Callithrix jacchus: one gene and its partners. The protein of the gene in region 6 purifies or fractionates together with the protein of the main gene of each other region. This does not show direct contact. Links are inferred from orthologs where the notes say so. Each region holds a gene or a part of one and is shown on either strand. Other genes may lie near its edges. The genes, in order: RITA1, FBXO42, FHL1, NOTCH2, MAML1 and RBPJ.

What was found.
Region 1: the proteins of RBPJ (region 6) and RITA1 purify together in Homo sapiens (affinity purification with mass spectrometry; 4 studies listed by BioGRID and IntAct, with this or other methods). This does not show direct contact. The link is inferred for Callithrix jacchus from reciprocal best matches to the Homo sapiens genes RBPJ and RITA1.
Region 2: the proteins of RBPJ (region 6) and FBXO42 purify together in Homo sapiens (affinity purification with mass spectrometry; 3 studies listed by BioGRID and IntAct, counting the BioPlex papers as one, with this or other methods). This does not show direct contact. The link is inferred for Callithrix jacchus from reciprocal best matches to the Homo sapiens genes RBPJ and FBXO42.
Region 3: the proteins of RBPJ (region 6) and FHL1 purify together in Homo sapiens (affinity purification with western blotting; 4 studies listed by BioGRID and IntAct, with this or other methods). This does not show direct contact. The link is inferred for Callithrix jacchus from reciprocal best matches to the Homo sapiens genes RBPJ and FHL1.
Region 4: the proteins of RBPJ (region 6) and NOTCH2 purify together in Homo sapiens (affinity purification with mass spectrometry; 3 studies listed by BioGRID and IntAct, counting the BioPlex papers as one, with this or other methods). This does not show direct contact. The link is inferred for Callithrix jacchus from reciprocal best matches to the Homo sapiens genes RBPJ and NOTCH2.
Region 5: the proteins of RBPJ (region 6) and MAML1 purify together in Homo sapiens (co-immunoprecipitation; 12 studies listed by BioGRID and IntAct, counting the BioPlex papers as one, with this or other methods). This does not show direct contact. The link is inferred for Callithrix jacchus from reciprocal best matches to the Homo sapiens genes RBPJ and MAML1.

The regions. Positions count from the first base shown.
Region 1 is NC_133510.1:116,159,366-116,163,322, forward strand, and holds the start of RITA1 (RBPJ-interacting and tubulin-associated protein 1), read left to right. Parts: upstream 1-1,157; 5' UTR 1,158-1,436; coding exon 1,437-1,444; intron 1,445-1,607; exon of another isoform or gene 1,608-1,739; intron 1,740-2,385; exon of another isoform or gene 2,386-2,406; coding exon 2,407-2,772; intron 2,773-3,957. Other genes in the region: ATP-dependent RNA helicase DDX54, read right to left, coding at 714-887. UniProt on the Homo sapiens protein: Tubulin-binding protein that acts as a negative regulator of Notch signaling pathway.
Region 2 is NC_133508.1:53,659,346-53,663,438, reverse strand, and holds the start of FBXO42 (F-box only protein 42), read left to right. Parts: upstream 1-1,293; 5' UTR 1,294-1,506; intron 1,507-4,093. UniProt on the Homo sapiens protein: Substrate-recognition component of some SCF (SKP1-CUL1-F-box protein)-type E3 ubiquitin ligase complex. Specifically recognizes p53/TP53, promoting its ubiquitination and degradation.
Region 3 is NC_133524.1:133,003,894-133,006,051, forward strand, and holds part of FHL1 (four and a half LIM domains protein 1), read left to right. Parts: intron 1-278; coding exon 279-448; intron 449-908; coding exon 909-1,095; intron 1,096-1,708; coding exon 1,709-1,908; intron 1,909-2,158.
Region 4 is NC_133508.1:158,121,494-158,124,993, reverse strand, and holds part of NOTCH2 (neurogenic locus notch homolog protein 2), read left to right. Parts: intron 1-1,870; coding exon 1,871-1,983; intron 1,984-2,677; coding exon 2,678-3,183; intron 3,184-3,500. UniProt on the Homo sapiens protein: Functions as a receptor for membrane-bound ligands Jagged-1 (JAG1), Jagged-2 (JAG2) and Delta-1 (DLL1) to regulate cell-fate determination.
Region 5 is NC_133503.1:71,917,486-71,921,453, reverse strand, and holds the start of MAML1 (mastermind-like protein 1), read left to right. Parts: upstream 1-1,168; 5' UTR 1,169-1,447; coding exon 1,448-1,759; intron 1,760-3,968. UniProt on the Homo sapiens protein: Acts as a transcriptional coactivator for NOTCH proteins. Has been shown to amplify NOTCH-induced transcription of HES1. Enhances phosphorylation and proteolytic turnover of the NOTCH intracellular domain in the nucleus through interaction with CDK8.
Region 6 is NC_133504.1:167,517,436-167,521,598, reverse strand, and holds the start of RBPJ (recombining binding protein suppressor of hairless), read left to right. Parts: upstream 1-1,363; 5' UTR 1,364-1,442; exon of another isoform or gene 1,443-2,242; 5' UTR 2,243-2,299; coding exon 2,300-2,358; exon of another isoform or gene 2,359-2,570; coding exon of another isoform or gene 2,571-2,590; intron 2,591-3,093; exon of another isoform or gene 3,094-3,410; intron 3,411-4,163. UniProt on the Homo sapiens protein: Transcriptional regulator that plays a central role in Notch signaling, a signaling pathway involved in cell-cell communication that regulates a broad spectrum of cell-fate determinations.

The DNA of each region.
Region 1 (3,957 bases), on a different chromosome or scaffold from region 6:
TGCCGGGCGCGGTGGCTCACGCCTATAATCCCAGCACACTGGGAGGCCGAGGCGGGTGGATCACGAGGTCAAGAGATCAAGACCATCCTGGTCAACATGGTGAAACCCCGTCTCTACTAAAAATACAAAAATTAGCTAGGCATGGTGGCGTGCGCCTGTAGTCCCAGCTAGTCGGGAGGCTGAGGCAGGAGAATTGCTTGAACCCAGGAGGCGGAGGTTGCGGTGAGCCGAGATCGGGCCATTGCACTCCAGCCTGGGTGACGAGCGAAACTCCGACTCCAAAAAAAAAAAAAATTTTTTTTTAATTAGTTTCCCAGAGGTTTGGGGGGGTCACTGTCGCAAGCCACGCAGTCCGGCATCCCCTTAATTCAACCTCCCAAGAAAGCTCCAAACTCTCAAAGTCAGATCTTTTGCGCCCGCACTTTTCATTGGGCGAAAGGAAACCAGGATCCGCCCCTGAGCAGGAGACAGCCAATGAGGGACGCGCGACCGAAAGCCCGCAGGAAGGCCCGCAGGCTCCTGCAACGGGACCCCTAGCCTAACAAGCCCCGAGGCACGTCTTCAGGCCGGCGGTCCCAAGACCGGTCCTCGGACCGGCAGCCTCCCTCCCCACCCTCTGCGGAGCCCACTCCCCAGCTGGGGAAACAGGCTTCGGGGCGCTTCCCGGAGCCGGTTCTTGGGCCCCAACGTGCGTCCCAGCCCCATGTGTCTACCTTCCGGGCCCCGGTGTCATCTTCCGCCTGAATCTCAAATTTGCCGTCCTGCGAGTCGCTGCCGCGGGCCTTGGAGGCCGCGCCTCGGCGCTTCCGGAGCCCTTTCTTCTTCCTCCACTGGGCCATAGCAGACGGCGACCGAAGTCCGGCCGCGGGGCGCTTGCCCTCCGCCATTCGGGCCGCGCGCTGGGAACGCGGAAGGGGCGGGGCCTGCGGCGCGTACTAATTGCGAAGGTAGGGAAGGAGCGGTGGTCACGTCACCCCGGCTGCACTTTCGGTAGTGCCTGCGGCCCTGGGCAGCCTAGTACACACGCCCCTGAGTGAATGGCACCAGAGGCCCCTCTCCGTGTTTAGGAACTTCCTGGGCGTCAAGAACGTGACGCCCGTCCCTGGGCTGACTCCCCCCCCCCATCTCCGGGCGCGAATGGTCCGAGCCGCGCCCGCAGTGCTGCTGCCTGCTCCCTAGTTGCTGGGTTCTGGGTTTCTGGATGCGCGCGTCGCTCACACGTCGCCTGGGCCGGCTCCCTGGGTGAGTCGGTCTGCGCGCGGTACACCGGTACGGCCTGGGCTGCCGGGGGTCCGGGGCCCCGGGCATTCCTGGCCGAAGATTCACAGGGATTCCGGATGCACCCAACGCCTCTGTGCCCTCGTTGACTAGTCCAGACCTGGTGGGAAGAAGGCGCGGGGAGAGGTACCTGAGGACCCCAATGCCTATGAGCCAAGATGCTCAGGTAGGAGAACAGCTCAAAAATGCAGGGACCTCGGGCATTTTTTAACCGGTTCGTTGATTTGGGAGTCGCAGAATATGGGGAGGTGGGGGCGGCGGTGATCTCCCAATAGCAGTGTAGTGAAGTACACAATCTCTGGACTCAGATTTCACTTCCACCGTTTTAGCTTTATAGGTGTGACCTACCCATGTGACTTCACCTCAGTTTTGTGATCCGTAAAATGGACAAAATCGAAGCTACTTCACAGTGCTGTTGAAAGGATTAAATGAAACAATGCTTGTAAAGCTCTTTGCAGGAGGTAGGCATGGGATCCACGCTGGCTGTTATTGCCCCCATCCCCATAATACACACAGGATATAGGAAAGTGCCTGTCTCCCCTACCACCATAGTGTGTTTTCTGGTTGGTGCCTAAATGGGCACAGGTGTCACCTCTCCTTCACCCTGAGTCAGTCTATAAATAATTGCCAATAGCACCCCTTTCTCCATCATTATGACGACTTAAAAAAAAAAAAAAGTCAAAGGGCCAGGTGCGGTGGCTCACGCCTTGGGAAGCCAAGGTGGGTGAATCACGAGGTCTGGAGTTCAAGACCAGCCTGGCCAAGATGGTGAAACCCCATCTCTATTAAAAATAAAAATAAAAATTAACAGGACATGGTGGCGGGTGCCTGTAATCCCAGCTACTCAAGAGGCTGAGGCAGAGAATTGTTTGAACCAGGTGGTGGAGGTTGCAGTTGCAGTGAGCCGAGATTGCACCATTGCACTCCAGCCTGGGTCTGGGGTGACAGAGTGAGACTCCATCTCAAAAAAAGTAAAAAAAAAATAAAAAGCCAAAGAAATTCCTGACATACCCCCTGAAGTTGACAACTCCCCTTTGAGAGACTGGCTGAGAGGGAACTAAGCCCTTGGGATGAGAACTTCAGAGACTACCAATCTTCCTCCATTAGCACTCCGATCTCCTCTCACAGGGAGCCTCAGAAGCAGGACCTGCCCGGCAGATTACACCCGCTGTCACCAGGGACCACAGGCAGCATGAAGACCCCCATGGAGCTGGCCATCAGTGGGATGCAGACCCTCCACCTTCAGCACCACCGCCGGGCTGGCTACCGGGTCAAGGTCAGGCCGTCATATGTGGATGAGAGTCTGTTTGGCAGCCCAGCAGGCACCCGGTCCGCCCCACAAGACTTTGACCCTCCCTGGGTGGAGAAGGCTAACAGAACCAGAGGCGTGGGCAAGGAGACATCGAAGGTCTTGGGGGCAAAGGGGAGCTGTGAGACCACCCCCTCAAGGGACAGCACCCCGACCCCCACACCAAGGAAGAAGAACAGATACAGGTAATGGGGTGGGGAGATGCAAATCCTATACTCAGTGTAGCCACCTGGGTTCCAGTTATAGCCCTGGTGCTCTGTGATCTTGGGCAAGCATCTTTACCTCTCTGAGCCACAGTTTACTCATGTGGAAAATAGGACCAGTGATTCCTAATGGGGGATTGTTGATGGATTAAATGAGAGAGGGGTCTGCAGTGCTTTGCATAGTAACCTAACAGTTAGAAAGCTGTTAATAAATGGCAGTGTTGATGGTTGTGATGGTGGACTCCCTAACCCCAAGTGTCACAACTGGACATCTGAGGCCCAGAGGAGTCAGCTGATGCGTAAGATCACACAGAAATTTGCATAAGGTTATTAATATTAATGTGATTGATCCTTGAAATGGCATAGATGTGGTGTTTCTGAAGTCATTTTGAAAATGGGTCTTGCCAGGTGGGGTAGTTCATGCTGTAATCCCAGAACTTTTGGAGGTTAAGGTGGGATCACTTGAGCTCAGGAGTTCGAGACCAGCCTGGGCAACGTGGTAAAACCACGTCTCTATTAAAAAATACAAAAATTAGCCGAGCGTGGTGGTGTGCACCTGTATTTGCAGCTGCCAGGGAGGCTGAGGTGGATCACTTGAGCCCAGTAGGCGGAGGTTGCAGTGAGCCAAGATCACGCCACTGCACTCCAGCCAGAATGACAGCGAGACCCTGCCTCCAAAACAAAAATAAAAAATTAAAAATGGGTCTTGCTGCATTTTCTTGAACAAGTTAGAAAAATAGTAACTAATGCAAATTGTTATTGTTAATTAATTAGATTAGAATTAGATTATTTGGACTGTTTCAGATTAATATCAGCCTGAGGGAGGTATCTAGTGGTGAGCTACAGGGCTCTGTCCTGTTTATTGTTACCAGTGGTTTAGACAAAGATGATTAGCACGGTAGTTGGCTAGGGCTGCCGTGACAGTACCACAGACTGGGTGGCTTAAACAACACAGATTTGTTTTGTGACAGACTGGAGGCTGGAAGCCCAAATCAAGGTGTTGGCAGGTTTGGTTTTTCCTGAGGCCTCTCTCCTTGGCTTGCAGTTGCCCACGTTCTCACTGGCATCATAGGGCTTTCTCTCATTTTTTAATCCTTCAAGTACATGCAAGGGCCTTTTCTGTATGCACACACGTAGCCCTGGTGTCTCTTCCTCTCATAAGCACAC
Region 2 (4,093 bases), on a different chromosome or scaffold from region 6:
CCTCTTGTTTGTTTTTCTGAGACAGTCTTGCTCTGTCGCCTAGGCTGAAGTAGAGAGGCACATTCTTGCTCACTGCAACCTCCGCCTCCTGGGTTCAAGCGATTCACCTGCCTCAGCCTCCCGAGTAGCTGGGACTACAGGCGCGTACCACCATGCCCAGCTAATTTTTGTATTTTTAGTAGAGATGGGGTTTCACCTTTTTTTTTTGACCAGGATGGTCTTGATCTCTTGACCTCGTGATCTGCTAGCCTTGGCCTCCCAAAGTGCTGTGATTACAGGTGTCAGCCACCTCGCAACCGGCCTGCAATTGTTAATCAGTCTTAAGGTCTGTTGTGTTGATGTTAGTGCTGGAGGGTATAATGAGGCATGTCTGACCCCCACTTCCTGTCATGGCCTGAACCATGTTAAATTTAGACTGCCCTGGTCAATTTACCTCTCTGGCCTGGCCTAGGAGAAAGTCCATTCAGAATGCTTGGTGTGGTGGTAGTGGTGGTGGGGAGGGGCTTAGTTTTTTTTTTTTTTTTTTTTTTTTTGCTTACGGAGTTTAGACTGAAGCCCTTGACTCCATCTGGCATTTCCTTAGACCACATGCTGTATGTAGGGCTAAGCTCGTGAAGGTTCGTTCTCACCTACACACCAGGTTGCTCCCTTGGGAGGGGGCTTTGCTGGAATCTATCCCTTGGTGATAGCCAGTAGGATGTAAAGGAACTTGGGAATCCTACATGCCCGAGTTTAAATCCTATGTTTCCCGCGCCGCCCCACCTCCACTGCTAGGTGTGTGGCTCTGGACAAATAACTGATCGTTTTCCGTGCCTCAGTTTCCTCATCTGAAAAGTGGAGCTAGTAAAACACCTCACACAGTGGTTGCTACAAGGCTACTACGATTAAGGGAGGCTTCTCTTGCACACCTCAGGCGGAGTTTCCCTCCCCGTGGGGATGTCCAGGGGCACTTACATCCGCCACCTCTGTGCTCATCGGGCCCTCGGGGTAGAACTTAGTTAATTCCTGGCTAAAGGTTGGTCTCAAATCACAGGGAAAACCACCCAGGTGCTCCAGACATTTGCAGCGGAGGGTGGGTGCGGCTATGAGGTCGACGCTGGAGACGCGGCGAAGACGGGTGCGGAAGCTTCGCACCCCCGGAAGATTCCATCCTCCACAGAATCTTGGTCTGTAGCCACAGCCCTTCTCAATATGGCGCCGCCCCCTAGCCGCCCCGCGCCGGCCCGCCGCGTTGACGTGAGTGCGCGCGCGTGTGTCCTTCGTGCCCGCCCCTGCGCATGCGCGCTCTGCTCTGTCTTCTCTCGGCTAGAGCAGCAGCTGCGGCGGCGGGGTTTGAGTGGAGGAAGATGGCGGCTCTGGGTGGCTTGGGGTCCCGCCAGCTGTGAAGAGCCCGGAGCACGGCTATCGCGGCCTTAGGCACAGCGCCTCTGCTCTGGCCCTGTCCCTGGCTCCCTCATTACCGTCGCCACCGGAGCGAACCCGAGAGCTTGGAGCGGGCTGGGCCAGGTGAGGCCTCTCCTCCTCCCGGGGCCGCGATGGGGAGCTGGCGCCTCCTGCCCTTTATGCCCGGGGCTGGCAAGGGGCAGCGGGCGCCCCTGGTCTGGCGCAGGTCCCGCATCCCGCGCAGGGGTCGGTCTTGGTTGGGCAGGGCGCCTTGCTATCGCCGTCCTTGAGTGAGGAGGAGAGGAGGAGAGTTCCTTTCCAGCCAGCCCTTGGGTTGGGAGCGAACCCACCCTCTCTCCCCAGCAGGGTGATTCTCGTCCCCTCACCCGGGCAGTGAAGGGATGTGTGGCCCGAGCAAGGATGGCTTTAGGGTGTCAGATAATCTTTCATCGGGCCTCCGAACCTTTTACTTCTTTGCGAGAGAGGAGCCGGGAGTCGGGTGCCCATCAAAATTGGGGCTGCGGCTGGGGGCCAGCATCACTGAAGCTGCAGTTGCAGAGGGATAATTTGGAAATTGGTTTTCGTGAAATAAAATAAGCGGCCTTTCCTAGCCCCTAGCTTGTTGAGTGTTCCCCTAGAGAAATGGAAACTGCGGATCTCCTTGCTTGAGACAGCAATCCATGCTGTGACTGTGGAAGACTTCTCTTGGCGAGAATTGTGTGTGGTAAGGGAACGGTGGAGGGTGGGAACGAATTTGTAAGCGAAGAGAAAGCAATTGTGAGATCTTGATGGTCTCTGCAGGGTAACCTCAGCGCCAGTTGAATTCGTTTGAAACCTTCGGATTGTTAAGATTCAGAATAGCCAATTGCTTTGTCTGTTAAATCTCCCGACTTTTATTAGGAAAATAAAGGCTTCATTTCTTAATTGCCAGAGTCTTTGGATTTTTCTGTGGTGGGATTCTGATGGATCTAGATGAAGATCTGACGCTTTACCAGTTCTCACTTGCCGGCAGCAACATTGTAACTATGCTTGTTCCTTTTGGAGAACAACTTTTGTTGTTGTTTAAATGCTAATTGGGAGACTTTGTGTTTCTCATGTAGGGAAGTCGGTTTTGAAGCCTTGTGGCCTCTTCCTTGAGGAATGATGGCTTCATTGGACTGTGCTGTGGGGAATTGTTGAGGCAATTGCTTTTGCTTGGACACACCAAAATACCTTTTGTAACACATTGGCTTTACTTGTGCTTAAGAATGGTGACGTCATGGATTTAAAGAGAAGGAAAATTTGGAAAGTACCATCATTTACAATTGAACATTTAGAAATAAGTCTATAGCTCTTATGAACATTGGTGTTGCTGTGTTTAATTGCTAACTTTGAGTGTATTCATGTGTGTAATCTGATTGGGTGTCTTTTCTATTGTATGTTATTTTAACTATTTGCTTTTGACATGCCAATATAAATGCATTATTCAATCCACATTGATCCATGGGCATGCTGTATATCTTAAAAAGATTTTCCTTGGTGAAATGACAACTGTTTCGGTTATTATTTGACCATTTCTCTCTCTTTCTCCTTTTTTTTTTTTTTTGAGGCAGTCTCTCACTCTGTCACCCAGACTGGAGTGCAGTGGCATGATTTCGGCTCACTGCAACGTCCATCCCTTGGGTTTAAGCGATTCTCGTGCCTCAGCCTCTTGAGTAGCTGGGATTACAGGCGTGCACCACCACGCCCAGTTAATTAGTTTTTGTAATTTTAGCAGAGACGGGGTTTTACCATGTTGCCCAGGCTGATCTCAAACTCCTGGTCTCAAGCAATACCCCACCTTTGCCAGGCTTGAGCCACCGTGCCCAGCCTCCTTTTCTATTTTTAAATCAGACTTTTCCGTAGAAATTTGTCGATTTTCTTAGTGTCTTTGCTAAAGATGTAAATCTGAACTGTCAGCTTCTCTGTGGTAGAAAATTGGAGAGCTACTTTGCATATCAATTCACTAATAAAGAGTCATGAAATTAATGCAGTAAAACATCCTGGTGGCTCATCATTATGCTTCTTGGCATAATATGTTGCACTGTTATGCTAAATCATCATCACTTATTGATGCAACTGCGTGACATCCATGACATCATTTGCTCTCCAGATTTTGACTTTTGCAATTCCTTACCTTACTCAGTTACAAAAAGAACAGGATCAGAAAAAGGTAGCTTAGGATGCTTGTTCTTGTCTGGTTTCTAGAAGGGTCTTTAATAATTGCTTTATTAAGTTTAAACCCTTCAGATTCAGAACTGGATGAGTCCTACCTATTATCGAGAGCAAGCAAAGAAAATGCTAGCAAAACATGAATTTTATGAGAACACTGAGATCCCAAGGAGAAGCTATCTCAAAGATGAACAAACATGTAATTATCTTTGTGATTTCAGGATTGTTTTAGTCATCGAAGTAACTGTTTATAAAACCAGAAGCCATTTGATTAAATAAAGCCCTTCCCATGATTGTTAATGTGGGTCAAAAAAGACAGTGTTTGTGAAAGTGCTTTGTAAAATGTAAAATAAAAGGTAAATATAAAATTGATTATTCCTATTTATGAGCTACCGAATAAAGGCCCTCTGTTTGGCAGGTGTTTTGGGAAGTAGGTACTAATAACTGTAAGATAAGACAGATAAGACAGCTTTTGGTCTGAAGTTGCAGACAGTATGGCTTGGGAGGTAGACAAGGAAAG
Region 3 (2,158 bases), on a different chromosome or scaffold from region 6:
CCTGATTTAATGTCTAAGTGCACGCAGGGTATAGAGGTGGGGGCATGGGGGATTCAGGCATCGGATCCTAAAATAATAATTCTGGGGTCCCCGCCCATGACAGAAATCCCGGGTTGGCACAAGCACAATTAGAACACAGGTAGGTTAGTTGGAAGTGTGAGGCCAGTAACTGCAGGGCCTGCATCCCCTCACCTCTAGGGGTCTGGGGAGGAGGGCTGAGTGGATGCAGCACCCTGCAGAGCCTGTCAGTGGGGCCATCCAATTGCTTCCTCCTGCAGGAGATCAAAACGTGGAGTACAAGGGGACCGTCTGGCACAAAGACTGCTTCACCTGCAGTAACTGCAAGCAAGTCATCGGGACTGGAAGCTTCTTCCCTAAAGGGGAGGACTTCTACTGCGTGACTTGCCATGAGACCAAGTTTGCCAAGCATTGCGTGAAGTGCAACAAGGTATGCTTTCAAGGGAGTTCGGCATTGACCGCTGTTTCCAGAAGTGTTTGATGGTTTGCAGAGCACTTCCACACACACTATCCCATTCCATCCTCACGACAGTCCTGTGACGTAGGAATTATTATTCCCATTTTACAGATGAGGAGACCATGGATTAGAAAGCAGTGCCACAGCCAAGTCGGCTGTCGGTACGCATGCTCAGCTCCGTGGTGCGGGTGGCCCATACGGCCTGCCTCTACCACTTAGGGGCTGTGCAACCTCGCATAGGGGCTCGCCTTCTCCGAGCCTTGGTGTCTTCATCTGTGAACTGGGGATAATAATGGCCCCTGCCTCCCATGGCTGCTGTGGAGATTAAATGAGATATTGTATACCAAAGCGCCCAGCACGGTGCCTGGCACACAGTAGGCATTCAACAAAATGGTTGTTGAATCTGAATCCGGTGCTACACTCCCTGGTCTAGGCCATCACATCTGGAGGAATCACTTACCAGGATCAGCCCTGGCATGCCGATTGCTTTGTGTGTGTTACCTGCTCTAAGAAGCTGGCTGGGCAGCGTTTCACCGCTGTGGAGGACCAGTATTACTGCGTGGATTGCTACAAGAACTTTGTGGCCAAGAAGTGTGCTGGATGCAAGAACCCCATCACTGGTAGGCTAAAGAGTCCTTGCTAAGTCTGCCAGGCTAGGTTTTGCGCATGGTAACCATCTCTCATTTTCCTGTCGTCGGTTTCATCCACAAAGGCCCCCAGAGAATGCCCTTCTCCCCCTGCTATTGTCATCCCAAAGGTCCCCCAAGAGTTTGGATTCGTCCCCAGGCCAGGTTAGGCTTTGCAATACAGAACACTTCCTGACTACTGTTGACTAACAATGCCAAGCGTTCACAAGCCTGAGACCTGCCGGCCATCACCGGCAGGCAATGCTACGTTGCAGGGGGATTCTGGGGGGAGGGGCGGGAGGAGGGTAGAAAGAAGGGGGGTGGGGTAGGGTGGAGAAGGGTAGGGGAAGTGGGAGGGGAGGCCGAAGAGTGATAACTTGGGATTGTAACAACCCATAACTGAAGGCTAGTTCAGAGGTGACTGTTGGCAGGGTTTTTTTTTTTGGTTTTCTGTTCATTTGTTTTTGCGATCAGCAAAGCTAATCACTTCATTCCTCATCTCGCGGCCGCGATCCACGTGCCCTGGGCCCTTTCCCTTGCCTCCAATTTTCCCATCTCCCCGGGGAGCCTTGAAATGTACATTTGAGAAGACTTTTGCCATCCTCAGGGAAAAGGACTGTGTCAAGAGTGAGCCACCCAGTCTCTAAAGCTAGGAAGCCCCCAGTGTGCCACGGGAAACGCTTGCCTCTCACCCTGTTTCCCAGCGCCAACCTCCGGGGCAGGCATCCGGGTGGAGAGAGGACTTGTCCCTCGTGGGTGGTGGTTCTTTATAGAAAAAATCGAAGCTTAGCAGCTCCTCGAGGCCCGGTAAGTGCACACCCCACGAACAGCCCAAGTTTGCCTCCTGGTGGCCACTTTGATGCCATGGCCCTGACCTAAATCAAAGAAACTGGTTATGCTGGGAGGTCGGTGCGAGTCACAGGGCAATAGCGCGGTGGCATGGGAACGTGGGGTCTTTACATCAGGGAAGCCCTTGGCGGGGCTCCGGCTTCTTCTCAGGTCCTGGAGAGCCATAGCAGGGTTGCGGCGGCATGGGGGACAATGGCGGCGTGGGGGA
Region 4 (3,500 bases), on a different chromosome or scaffold from region 6:
TTGACATTACATATAGTAGCTTGAATTACCGGGTAGTTCCCAACACCATGATCTTTCCACTCCTAAGACTCAGAGAAGCTTAGGACCCTGCTTAGATACTTAAAGGGAGCAGGTCCAAATTCAAATGTGTTTAACCAAAGATCAGTTGATGCAGCTATGAAATGAAAAGTTGCAGCGGTCACAAGTAACGCCCTGCCCAGGGAAGCCCTGGTCATGTTCCTGCTCTGTTCTCAAGCTTCTTTCTTTCATAACAGGACATGAAGATGACCTCACCCTGCCTCAGAATAGAGGTCTTATCGCAAGAACTTACTAGTTACTTCTGGAGAGGGCAGCATGGAGACTTTTGGAAACTAAAATAGTTGTTTATATCCAGATGTGGCAGGATACTCAGATTTGAAATTTATCATGCATTTCCTGGGGTCTGTAGTTGTATTTCTTTTAGGGAGGGTGTGATCAGGTTCCTTGGGAGTCAGAAAATAGGCTATAGTCGTCTGTTTACAAACAGTTCATCAAGCGGAACCTGCTGTATCCTGAGCCCATCTTCAGCCATCTTTCCTTCCAGCTTTAAAGATATGCTGCCTTACAGTCTTGGAATTTTATGAAGAATGAGAGGGATTCTGCAGCCTGGAAGTTCCCTACATACACTAACATCAAAAGAGAAATAATCCATTATGAACTTCATAACTATTGAGGCAATATGGGACAGAATAAGTATGAACAGTCTGTCCACAGCCTCGTATTGGCCAAACTGCACTTGGAAAGCCGAAGAAGCAAAACTGGCTCCTTTTTCTTTCATTGGCTCTGAGGCTTTTTTCTCTGGGAACACTGACAAACATTTACAAAGTCAGGGGGAAGCAGGAGAAGGAAGGAATGGAGACCGTTTTGAATTAGTATCCCATAGCCAGGAAGTCGTGCTAGTGCATTTTCCACATTTGTGAATGAAAAAGAAATCACTTGAACACATTGAGCCAGTTATTGTGGGAAGCTGTGGTAGAGATGAACAGCGAGAGACTGGTGGTCCACCAAGCTGTGTCCATGTGGTGGCTGCTTTTGGTTAGCGGCTGCTGCTGCGATTTAAAGAGACAAACATCTATACCTCTGGCTGCTTGATCTGGTGGGCCAAAAACATTACTATTTTTACTTCATTTTTAAAGCTACCTTTTCTTTCCTAAGTGACCGCAGGCCAGATGGGGCCTACCTTCTGCTGTTGGCCAGGAGTCCCAGCTGTGCGGTGCCCTCGTCTCCTCCATGGTTCCGGTTGCCTTATTCTTTATCTTGGAGCAGTGGCCCCCAGGGGCCTGCTGTTTTAGAACTATTCCTAGAGGAAGTTAACTTCAGGAAAATTAAGCTGCGTTTTAGGGAATACCAGTTAGGTTACAGAAAGGCCACAAAGTGATTGAAACGAGGTATATCGCAGATGAGAGTTCTCTGTACTGCAAATCACCATTTAAATATATGGGCCTGGTATTGGCCTGGTGTAGCCTCTCCTATGAAGTAGATGACATTAACAAAATGCGGCAAATGGTTTTTTAACTGTTTCCTGAAACGTATGAAATCTAGTGACTTCGAAAAGCTGAAGTGCAATTTCTTGTTTTTTTGAGGGCATTTAAGTCACTTTTCTCACCCATCCTGTTGTGTGAGTTGGTGCTTACTGTGTAGGCAAGACAGAGGAAGGAACTGGCCTGAGCCAGTGATGGGCCAGGCATGTGGAGACCCAGCGAGTGTTTCCTTCCTTTGCTCAGATTGCCACAGGCGTAGGACTGAACTCACACCCTTGCTCCACCTATGGGTGCTTCCTATCCCAGCAAAGTTTGGTCAGTAACTTGGAATGACTACTTCTGCCTTTTAAAACCCATTTTTATTTTCTGAGGCCGGCACTGTGAAACCTTCATCGATGTGTGTCCCCAGATGCCCTGCCTGAATGGAGGGACTTGTGCTGTGGCCAGCAACATGCCTGATGGTTTCATTTGCCGTTGTCCCCCGGTAAGTGCCCTGTTGCTCATAAGGGGCATTCTCTCTTCCATACAATATCTGTGACAAAACTGAGATCAAACCTGGTTTTATCAAGCTTTGAAATGAGATTTATCAATTGTAGATCTTTCAGAAGAAAATGCTTGGGTTTTTCCATTTAAAGCTGTTTATAAACAACAGAACAAAACAAAAAACAACCTAATTAAATAAAAAGAACTGTTTAGACACTTCCTGAAACAGTGAACTTCCCAGTCCGTGACTGTCAGGCTTAAGAAAAACTAAGGGGAAACCACACAAAGTGGTGGAATGCCCCCTTGATGATAGGGCTGATGTTTTTGACTTCTCGGCCCCATGCTGGCGGGGAGTCTCACTGCCCCGCTTGTGCCGGAGTTGGTGGAAACGTTGCTCTGCTGTTCTTTAGCGGGAACCATTTGGAAGCAAGTTGTCTCTTGAACCAGAGGGAAGCTTAATTTTAGCTCTTTGCTCTACCCAGCCTTTTATCATTGCCAGAGACTGAGACCTCCCCAAAACAAGAGATCCCTATGCCTGGGGAGGTGCTGAAATGAAACCTGTCTAGTAACCTTGGCTTGGGCTGAGCAGGAAGTACAGAAGGGAGTGAGATGTGGAGGTTTTCTAGAAACCCGAAACTTCCAATGTGACTGTTTCCCTACCAATGCCATCCTTATTTCCTCACTGATTTCCACAGGGATTTTCCGGGGCAAGATGCCAGAGCAGCTGTGGACAAGTGAAATGTAAGAAAGGGGAGCAGTGTGTGCACACCGCCTCTGGACCCCGCTGCTTCTGCCCCAACCCCCAGGACTGTGAGTCAGGCTGTGCCAGTAGCCCCTGCCAGCACGGGGGCAGCTGCCACCCTCAGCGCCAGCCTCCTTTTTACTCCTGCCAGTGCACCCCACCATTCTGGGGCAGCCTCTGTGAACTCTACACGGTGCCCCCCAGCACCCCTCCTGCCACCTGTCTGAGCCAGTATTGTGCTGACAAAGCTCGGGATGGCGTCTGCGATGAGGCCTGCAACAGCCATGCCTGCCAGTGGGATGGGGGTGACTGTTCTCTCACCATGGAGAACCCCTGGGCCAACTGCTCCTCCCCGCTTCCCTGCTGGGATTATATCAACAACCAGTGTGACGAGCTGTGCAACACGGCCGAGTGCCTGTTTGACAACTTTGAATGCCAGGGGAACAGCAAGACATGCAAGTAAGAGCTTCACGTTCTCCAGAAGCTGCAGGGGACTGTCACTAACACACTTGAGTTTCCGGTTCTTGCTCCTAACCACTCCAGTGCTTCAGCCTCAGCCGCCTCTGCTTTTCAGATGGTGCCAGCCTTGTCCCATCGCGCACTACCCTGTGCTCTCCCTTGCTGACAGAGGGCCAGGAATGCTCATTGCATAGTGACCCTCTCTCTCTGCCTATCTCTGCCTTCTCACCTGCTGCCTTCGTGACCTCCTGGGGGATATAACTTTTGGAAGTGGTGTTTCCCACTTCAGGCAGCCTCTCACATAACCTGCCTGCAGG
Region 5 (3,968 bases), on a different chromosome or scaffold from region 6:
TTCGAGACCAGCCTGACCAACATGGAGAAGAGAAACCTCATCTCTACTAAAAATACAAAATTAGCTAGGTGTGGTGGCGAATTCCTGTAGTCCCAGCTACTCGGGAGGCTGAAGCAGGAGAATCGCTTGAAGGCGGAGGTTGCAGTGGACCGAAATCATGCCATTGCACTCCGATCTGGGTGACAGCACCACTCCGTATCAAAAAAAAAAAAGTTTTGACTGAAGTATCATCCTTTCCATTTCCAGTTCCCTTTAATGCTTTTGTTCACATCTTCTGGACTTTTAAGTAGTGAGTAATACTGCCCTTTTTTGTTGTTGTTGGTCTCCCTCTCGCCCAGGCTACAGTGGCGCCATCTCGGCTCACTGCAACCTCCGCCTCCTGGGTTTTCAGGCGATTCTTCTGCCTCAGCCTCCCGAGTAGCTGGAATTATAAGCGCACGCCACCACGCCCGGCTAATTTTTTTTTTGTATTTTTAGTAGAGACGGGATTTCACCATTTTGGTCAGGCTGGTCTCGAACTCCTGATCTCGTGATCCTCCCGCCTCGGCCTTCCAAAGTGCTGGGATTATAGGCGTGAGCCACCGCGTCCGGCCAATACTGCACTTTTCAAACTTTATCGGGCTTTAATAAATAGGTGGAAACTACCAGTGATTCGGGATGGTGCAAGAGGAAACTACCAGTCCACTCGACGATTCTGACCAATTATGGGGCTGGCTATAAGGAATGAGGTCAAAGTAAAACGACTGACGTTAAAATAGCTACTTCGAGTTTATCAAAGCCAAAAATTTTTTTTTAATGATCTGTATACTGCCAGGCGGGCGACGGGGACTGGCCAGCTGCGCCTCACCCGCCTGCCCGATTCCTCTTTCCTCTGGGGAGCCGGAAGGGAACTTCAACCGGCAAAGTGCAGGAAACCAATAGCCGCCTCTTGGACGGGATCCTGTCAGTCATGTTTAGCTCCGTCCCTAGGACTGAGGCCCGCCCAGAGGACTCCCTCCGCCCTTCGCTTGAGAGTTCCTTTTAAATACCGCTCTGGCGCCCGAGCGCGCCTCTTGCGTGCTCGTCCCCACGCCCTTGGGCGGCCGGTTCATTCCTTCTCTGGTTGGTAGGGGCCCCTGCTCATCAGCCATGACGCACAAGGTCTCTTACCGAGGCCCCGCCTTCTTCCGAGAGCCCAGAAAACAATTTTAAGATGGCGGTGGCGGCGGCTGCACGGAAAACAATGGGGTCGGGGCGGTGGGGACAGGCCGAGGCTTGAAGTGGGCAGCAAGCGCCGGCTGGGGGTCGGGCCAAGCGGGGCAGGAGGAAAATCCGCCGCCGCGCGCGAGCTAGCTCCACTGCCCTCGGGGTCATGGCGCGGCCGTGAGGCGGACAGGGGTAACCGCGGGGAGCGAAGCCCGCAGTGCCAGCCTGCTGCCCCGGGCCCAGCCCGTGCAGCCCGCGGCCCATGGTGCTGCCCACCTGCCCCATGGCGGAGTTCGCGCTGCCGCGGCACAGCGCGGTCATGGAGCGCCTCCGCCGGCGCATCGAGCTGTGCCGGCGCCACCACAGCACCTGCGAGGCCCGATACGAAGCCGTGTCTCCCGAGCGCCTGGAGCTGGAGCGCCAGCACACCTTCGCCTTGCACCAGCGCTGCATCCAGGCCAAGGCCAAGCGCGCCGGCAAGCACCGGCAGCCGCCCGCCGCCCCTGCCCCGCCGCCCGCCGCCCCAGCCCCGGCGCCCGCCGCCGACGGCCCCGAGCACGGCCGCCCGGCCGCGGTGAGTAGGGCGCGGGAAGGCGCTTGTCGTGGCGGCAGTCCCCGCTCCCGAAAACGCTTCGTCTGACGCGGATCGGGCCCCTGGGAGACTTCCCCGCATCTCTTGGATCTGACTGGAGGGAGGGTAACATGGCAGGGAGCTGAGAGGTTGTCATCTTCGGGAAGTGGCACGGTGGCGTTACTTTGGGAAAACAGCACCGTGAGGGCCTTGTAGGAGGCCTGATCTGGGAAGGCGGCGAAGGCTACCGGGAGGGTTTTTCTTCCAGACTTGATTCCGCGATATTGAGATCTTTATTCGAAATAGACTAGCATTAGAGTTGTCTGTGATGGAGGGAGTTCCTGCACTGTAGGCCTGGCCTCATTTATTCTGCAATTTATTGGCTCCTTGCTCTTCACTAGATCCTGTGCTATAAGCAGGGTCAGAGCTTTCATATGGAAGTAAGTTGGCCTTCATTTGACCAACTCAGACTCCTTTGCAAAATCAAGAAATCTTTGGAAAACGTAGTAAAATGTTATTAGTTGCAAATAAGTATTTCTTGTTTAGCCTGAAATTTCTGAACTTGAGATTCCTGCAATATTGTTGAATTTTAGTTTTAATTTATGAGGCCTGTTTAAAATCTCTGATGATGTTAGATTGTTGGTAAATTATGCCCTTTGGGCTCTCAGTAAATTTTCCTGAAATTTGTTGGTTAGAGGTTTTTCTCCCTGAAACAGAGAGAGACAAAATGTTTCAGTGGTTTTCTTGGGGATTTTAGGTTAAAACAAATGTTAAAATCTACTTTGTTCTGTGTATTTAAAAGTTTATACCTTTATTATCTCTCACCTGGACTATTGCAGTGCTCCTCCCTAACTAACCAACCAGTCTTTAGGCATTTAGTTTCTTTTCCCTTCCTCTGGAAATGCTGGAAATCCTTCTGTTGCTTGAAGGAATGCATTCAGTGTCTTTGGTTTGGCTCTTGGGACCAGTCTGACCTAACCTATCTTTTAATGTCCCTCACAGATCATCTGCTCTGGTTGAATTATTTTTCTCATTATCTCCCACACTAGCCTGGATTCCTGGGCCAGAAAAAAAAACCACTCAGATTTCATTGCTAATTGTATCAACTGGTCAAGCCTTCTCATCTTCACTTTTCTCATTTGCAAACTAGGGGTATGTTGAGCTTACTATCTCCCAGCGTTCTCCCCTACCCCCACGCCCCGCTCCCTCATTGCCCAGGCTGGAGTGCAGAGACACTGTCATGTCTCACTGCAGGCTCAACCTCCCGGGCTCTAGACTCCTCAATTCTCCTGCCTCAGCCTCCTGAGTAGCTGGGTCCACAGTTGCATACCACCACATCTGGCTAAATAAAAAAAAATTTTTTTTCTGTTAAAGATGGGGGGTCTCTGAAGTCCCTCTGCGCCCAGCTGGAAGTAGTACTTGGGAATAGTTGGTGGTCATTACATATGAAGTAAATAATGAAAGCTCATAAAAATCATAGTTTTATACACAAATAGTTGCCTTGAACACTCCCTAGAAAGTATATTAGTGGGGGCTGGGCACAGTGGCTCACGCCTGTAATCCCAGCACTTTGGGAAGTAGAGGCCGGCGGATAACCTGAGGTCAGGAGTTGGAGACCAGCCTGGCCACCATGGTCAAACCCTGTCTCTACTAAAAATACAAAACTTAGCTGGGCATGTGGTGTGTGCCTGTGGTCCCAGCTACTTGGAAGGCTGAGGCAGGAGAGTCCCTTGAACCTGGGAGACGAAGGTTACAGTGAGCCAACATCACACCACTGCACTCCAGCCTAGGCAAGGGAGGGAGACTCTTGTCTCCAAAATATATATATATATATATATATATAGTAATGATTCAATTTTTGTTTAAAGTTATTCCAAGAGTTTAGACCCTATATGATTTTTTTAGTCCTGAATCAGTGAAGGAAACTGGGCGTGCTCTTTGAAGAGAAATTAAATCTCAGTGTGTTAGAACTTGAATCTAACTTACCAGTCATTCCTTTTGGTGTCAGAACATAATTAGATGTGCCATGTTAAGTTGATGTCTTTTTATCATGTTAAACCTTGACCCCATGGATTTCTTGAGTTTGAACTCTATGGTGGATGTGTTCTGTGTCTCTGCTAGGAAGAGGGATGCTTTCCACTTGGAGTCCAAGTGTTTCTAGCTGAGTTCTTTGGCCTTGGATTGGGGTCATAGGAACAGAAGATAAGTATCA
Region 6 (4,163 bases):
CCCTCTGTGAATATATAATCAAAAGAATGGCAAACACATACACACATCCCTAAAACCTTGAAAACAACTTAAAAACTTGAATTTCCTCCTATTTGAGAACTCACTGTCCTCCAAATATCAAAGTTCAATTCAACTCTACATTTTCGGGGCTGTGATGTCAGCAGGAAGACACCAGTTTCTAGATATTGCCAGGCTAAGGCTGGTAAAGAAACCACATCAGGGCCAATCTGAAACGTGTTTGGTTGAAGAATGTAATCAGGAACTCATTGGATGAATGATCCAAAAGGAAGGGATGCATTTAAAACAGTAGTCACTACAGCACCTGCCGCAGTAATTTGTAAAATGGGATATTTTAACAAAAATATGGAAAGGTGAAGGAAAGCAAAAAAAGCCATATTAGTGAGAGGAAAAAAGAGACCAGAAACTGATTTGTGGGATTACTTCAAAAGGCTAAGAAGAGACTGAGAAGAAATTTTAGAAGTCGTGTCCTTAAACAGGAGCAAGAATCTATACAGGGCAGCAATGTGAGCACCCACGCAGCTATTTTTTTTGTTTTGTTTTTTGGTCTACCCAGCTCACAGGGCCAGCGGGTAGATTAGAAAGAAAACAACCAATTGCTAAAGGAGAGTAGCTAAAGGAATCAGAACTTAAACAAGTAAGCGAAGTGGTGGCCAGACTAGGTGACTCAAGGCATGACTCAAACCCGACTCTGGGGGCTGTCTGTCGCTCCCGGAGGCTGGGGGCCCGGCGTCTAGCACGTTTTAGGAAAGTACCAGGCTTGTGGAGGGCGACAGGAAACCTCCCCGTGAGATTGGCCTGGGGCTCCTCCAGCCCTAGACCCTGACCTAGCGACTTCCAACCTCCTAGCTTCCCCTTCGAAGCTCCCCACCCCTCGTCTTCCACCCAGCGTCACAGGGCGTGTGCGTGTGTGTGCGAGACGTCCGATCTCCTCCTCCGCTGCCCTCCGCCCCGTGCTCCCAGCCACGCGCCCTCCCGCCCCGCCTCCGCGGCGAGCCGCTCCCTTCCCACCCCGCCCGCGCCCGCCGCCCGCCGCCCGCCGCCAGCCTCCCGCCTCCCGGGCACGCGCGGCACGAACGGCGCCTGGAGCTCTAGACAAACACCTGTCCTGCTTGGGCTCCGCGAGATTTGGGGCGAAAGCCTAGGCAACAGTGGGCGCGTTCTCGCGAGGTTTAGGAAATTTCCCACGGCCGTGTTGTGTCTGAACCGAGTAGTGGAAGGCGGTGGGAAGGTGTAGCGTGAGACTGGACTGCCTGCATTGGCGCACGCGCAATACCGCTCGCGCGGCCGCGCCAATCCTGCAGCGCCTTCAGCAGGTTTTGGGAGGCGAATTCCAGTTCTCCGGGTTTTGGGGCTCCCTGCGGGAGACAGTGCTGGATCTGGGAATCTCTAGGAAAGGAAAGGGGAAAGATGGGGGGCTGCAGGTAGGAGGAGGGGGCGGGGTCCGGCCCTGCATCTTGCTGTTCAGTGCCCGGCCGGGCCCGGTTCGCCCGGCGGCTTCCGGGATCAGGCAGCCAGAAGCGCGATTCGAGCAGCCGGTCCGCTGTGCCAGCCCCTCGGGAGGCCCGGCTCCCTGTGCAGTAGTGGCCCCCCACACACATGGGCTCACACACCGTGGCGGTTGCGTTGGGGTCCTAGGGAGGCCACGCAGCACGCGAGCGGCGGGAGCTTTGATCGGGGCCTCTGACCCTACTCGGAGGTGGGAGAATGTGGCTCTCAATTCTAAGGCAGTTTTCCCATCTGGAAAGAACTATTCCGCGGTCTGGTGTGTGTCTACGAGGTGGCTATTAGGCGTGTCTTTGCCAGAAGCCTTTGCCTGACCTCATTTCACACCCAAGGAGAACGCGAAGGCGAGAGAGCTCAACTGCATAAGTTTTCCGTTTGCGGAGCTCTGGAAGGGCCTCCTCATTAGCATGTGGGTGTAATGAAAGAAGACAGTTCCCGACGTGTCACTTGCCCGAACCCCAGGCACTTCTGACGCTCCGGCATCTAACGCCGAGATTAGCATAAAGGAGGCGCCCAGGGAACTTTTGAATGAATGAAAAGAGCTGGGAACCCAGAGTGAGCGGGAAGCCGCCTGGAAAACACCCATTTGAGGAGGTGTTTCATCTAGGCCTGTGAAACGCGGCCGATTTTCCCAGGACCCCTCCTCCTTTCCCCTCGGCCCCGCCTCCTGACCCCTCCATTCCCTGTCCCCGTAGTAATCCCCTCCGGTTTTCCTCAGTCTCCACGTACGTCCCTTAAGGCGCGTCCCAAAACCCGGATAACCGGAGCGCTCCGCATGGACCAAACGGAGGGCTCGCCCGCGGAGGAGCCGCCTGCGCATGCTCTATCGCTTGGGTAGGTTTCCAGGGAAGACAGCGAGCAGGATCCCCTACTCCGCGGGCGGCGCGAGGCATCTGGCTCTTCGCGGCGGCTGCGAGGGGAAAGGGAGCGCGGGGGCTGGGTGGATCGAGGAGTGAGGAAAAAGGGAAGGGGCGGGGGAGAGGGACCAGGGAAGGCGTCGGGGCGAATCTCGCGAGGGTTGGAGTTTTGGCGAGAGTTTGTGGAAGATGGCGCCTGTTGTGACAGGGTAAGTCTGAGGGAATCGGAGCGCTGGGAACCGGGAAAGTTGCGGGCGTCTGGCAGCCCGCGGCGGGCGGCAGGTTCGGGGGCCGGGGCGCGCTTGGCGTCCAGGGGCCCGCGGGGGCGGCGTCGCATGCGCCGAGCGCTGCGGCGGCGGCGTGTGGTCGTGCGCTGCCGCTCTGCGCTGCTGTGGCTCGGGCTCCGGCGCGTGAGGGCGGGCGGTGGCGGCGAGGCCGGCGGGTGCGGGCGTGAGTGCGGCCCGGCGCGCGGGGCCCGCGGGCGCTGTGCCTGCTCCACGCCTCCCACGGGCCCTGCCTGGGGGCCCCGTGCAGCTTTGTTCCTCGCGGCAGTCGTCGCCGCCTCGCCCCGCTGGTGCCCCCGGCCTCGGGCGCTTTGTCTTTCCCCGCTGCCCCCCGCGACTCTCTACCCCCGGCCCTTTGTTTCGCCGCCTTGGGCGCTTTGTCCGACCCGTGGCGCCCGGCATCCCATCTCCGTCTCCTTCCCTCCGCTGTCCTTCCTCCCATGCCCCTTTGTTGTGTTCCACTCTTTTCGGTAGCCCAGTGACCTACCACAGCCCGGGCACCAGATTCCTGCCTTAATGGTTCTTCCATTGTCTTTCTACTGTGGGTCCCCTCTCACCTTTCTCTCTGGTTCTGGATCACCCCCCGGGGCTTTGTCTCCCCCACGCACGGGCTTATTCTCTCCGCATCCCCTTCCCCTTCCGTCATCGGTTGATTTATCCACTACCTACGGTGTACGTACGTCTGCTGAACTGTCTCAGCCCCGGGGACTCCATCTGCTGCTGCTAAGTGCACACAGCCTCAACGGTTTGTTGTTGTTTTGTGGGTCTGAAAGATGCATGGGATACTTAGTTTCCTCCTCGTACCTCTTTCTCTCGGGATTTCTTGTGCCCCCCCGATACCTCCCCCCCACCCCTTTCTCTTGGGATTAAAGCGTCTCCGATTTTCATCGCCTTCTCTTTAGTGCCGTGGGTTGTTTTGCTTGGAAACAGTAGCTCTGCAAAAAGATCTGGTCTCTTGGTGGTTCTTGCGCCCCCCGGCCCCCGCCCCCTCCTGGTTCCTGACGGCCTAGGCCAAGGGCAGCTGTCTGTCGGAGTTTTGCATCTAGGTTACCTGAGGATGATTGGAGGGTATTGTAGGACGGTTAGAAGGAGGCTCAAGATGTATGTATGTATGTGTGTATATATATATGTATGTATGTATTTCTGTTAGTATTTGAGAATAGTTTCAGATATCCACAATGGGTATTCGTTTGACGTGTGAGTAGGAGTTGAGTGAATTTCCATGTTTAAAACTTGTGAGTGTTGGGGCGGAGAATTTCAGCATTTTCTAGAATCTAGATTTAGAGTTTATCAGTGACTCCTGCCTCATAAGGAACGGAGAGGCATCCTGCTTGGGAATTTTATGTAAATATTTTACTTTTTCTTAATCATTAGATAGTTTACAGTTAATGTGCTATTTGCTTTGTAGATTCGTGACAACCCTTCTGACCCACCATTGGGGTTGAAATAAGGACTGCACCGAAGAGTGCAATTTCTGGTTGATGAATACTGCTTCTAG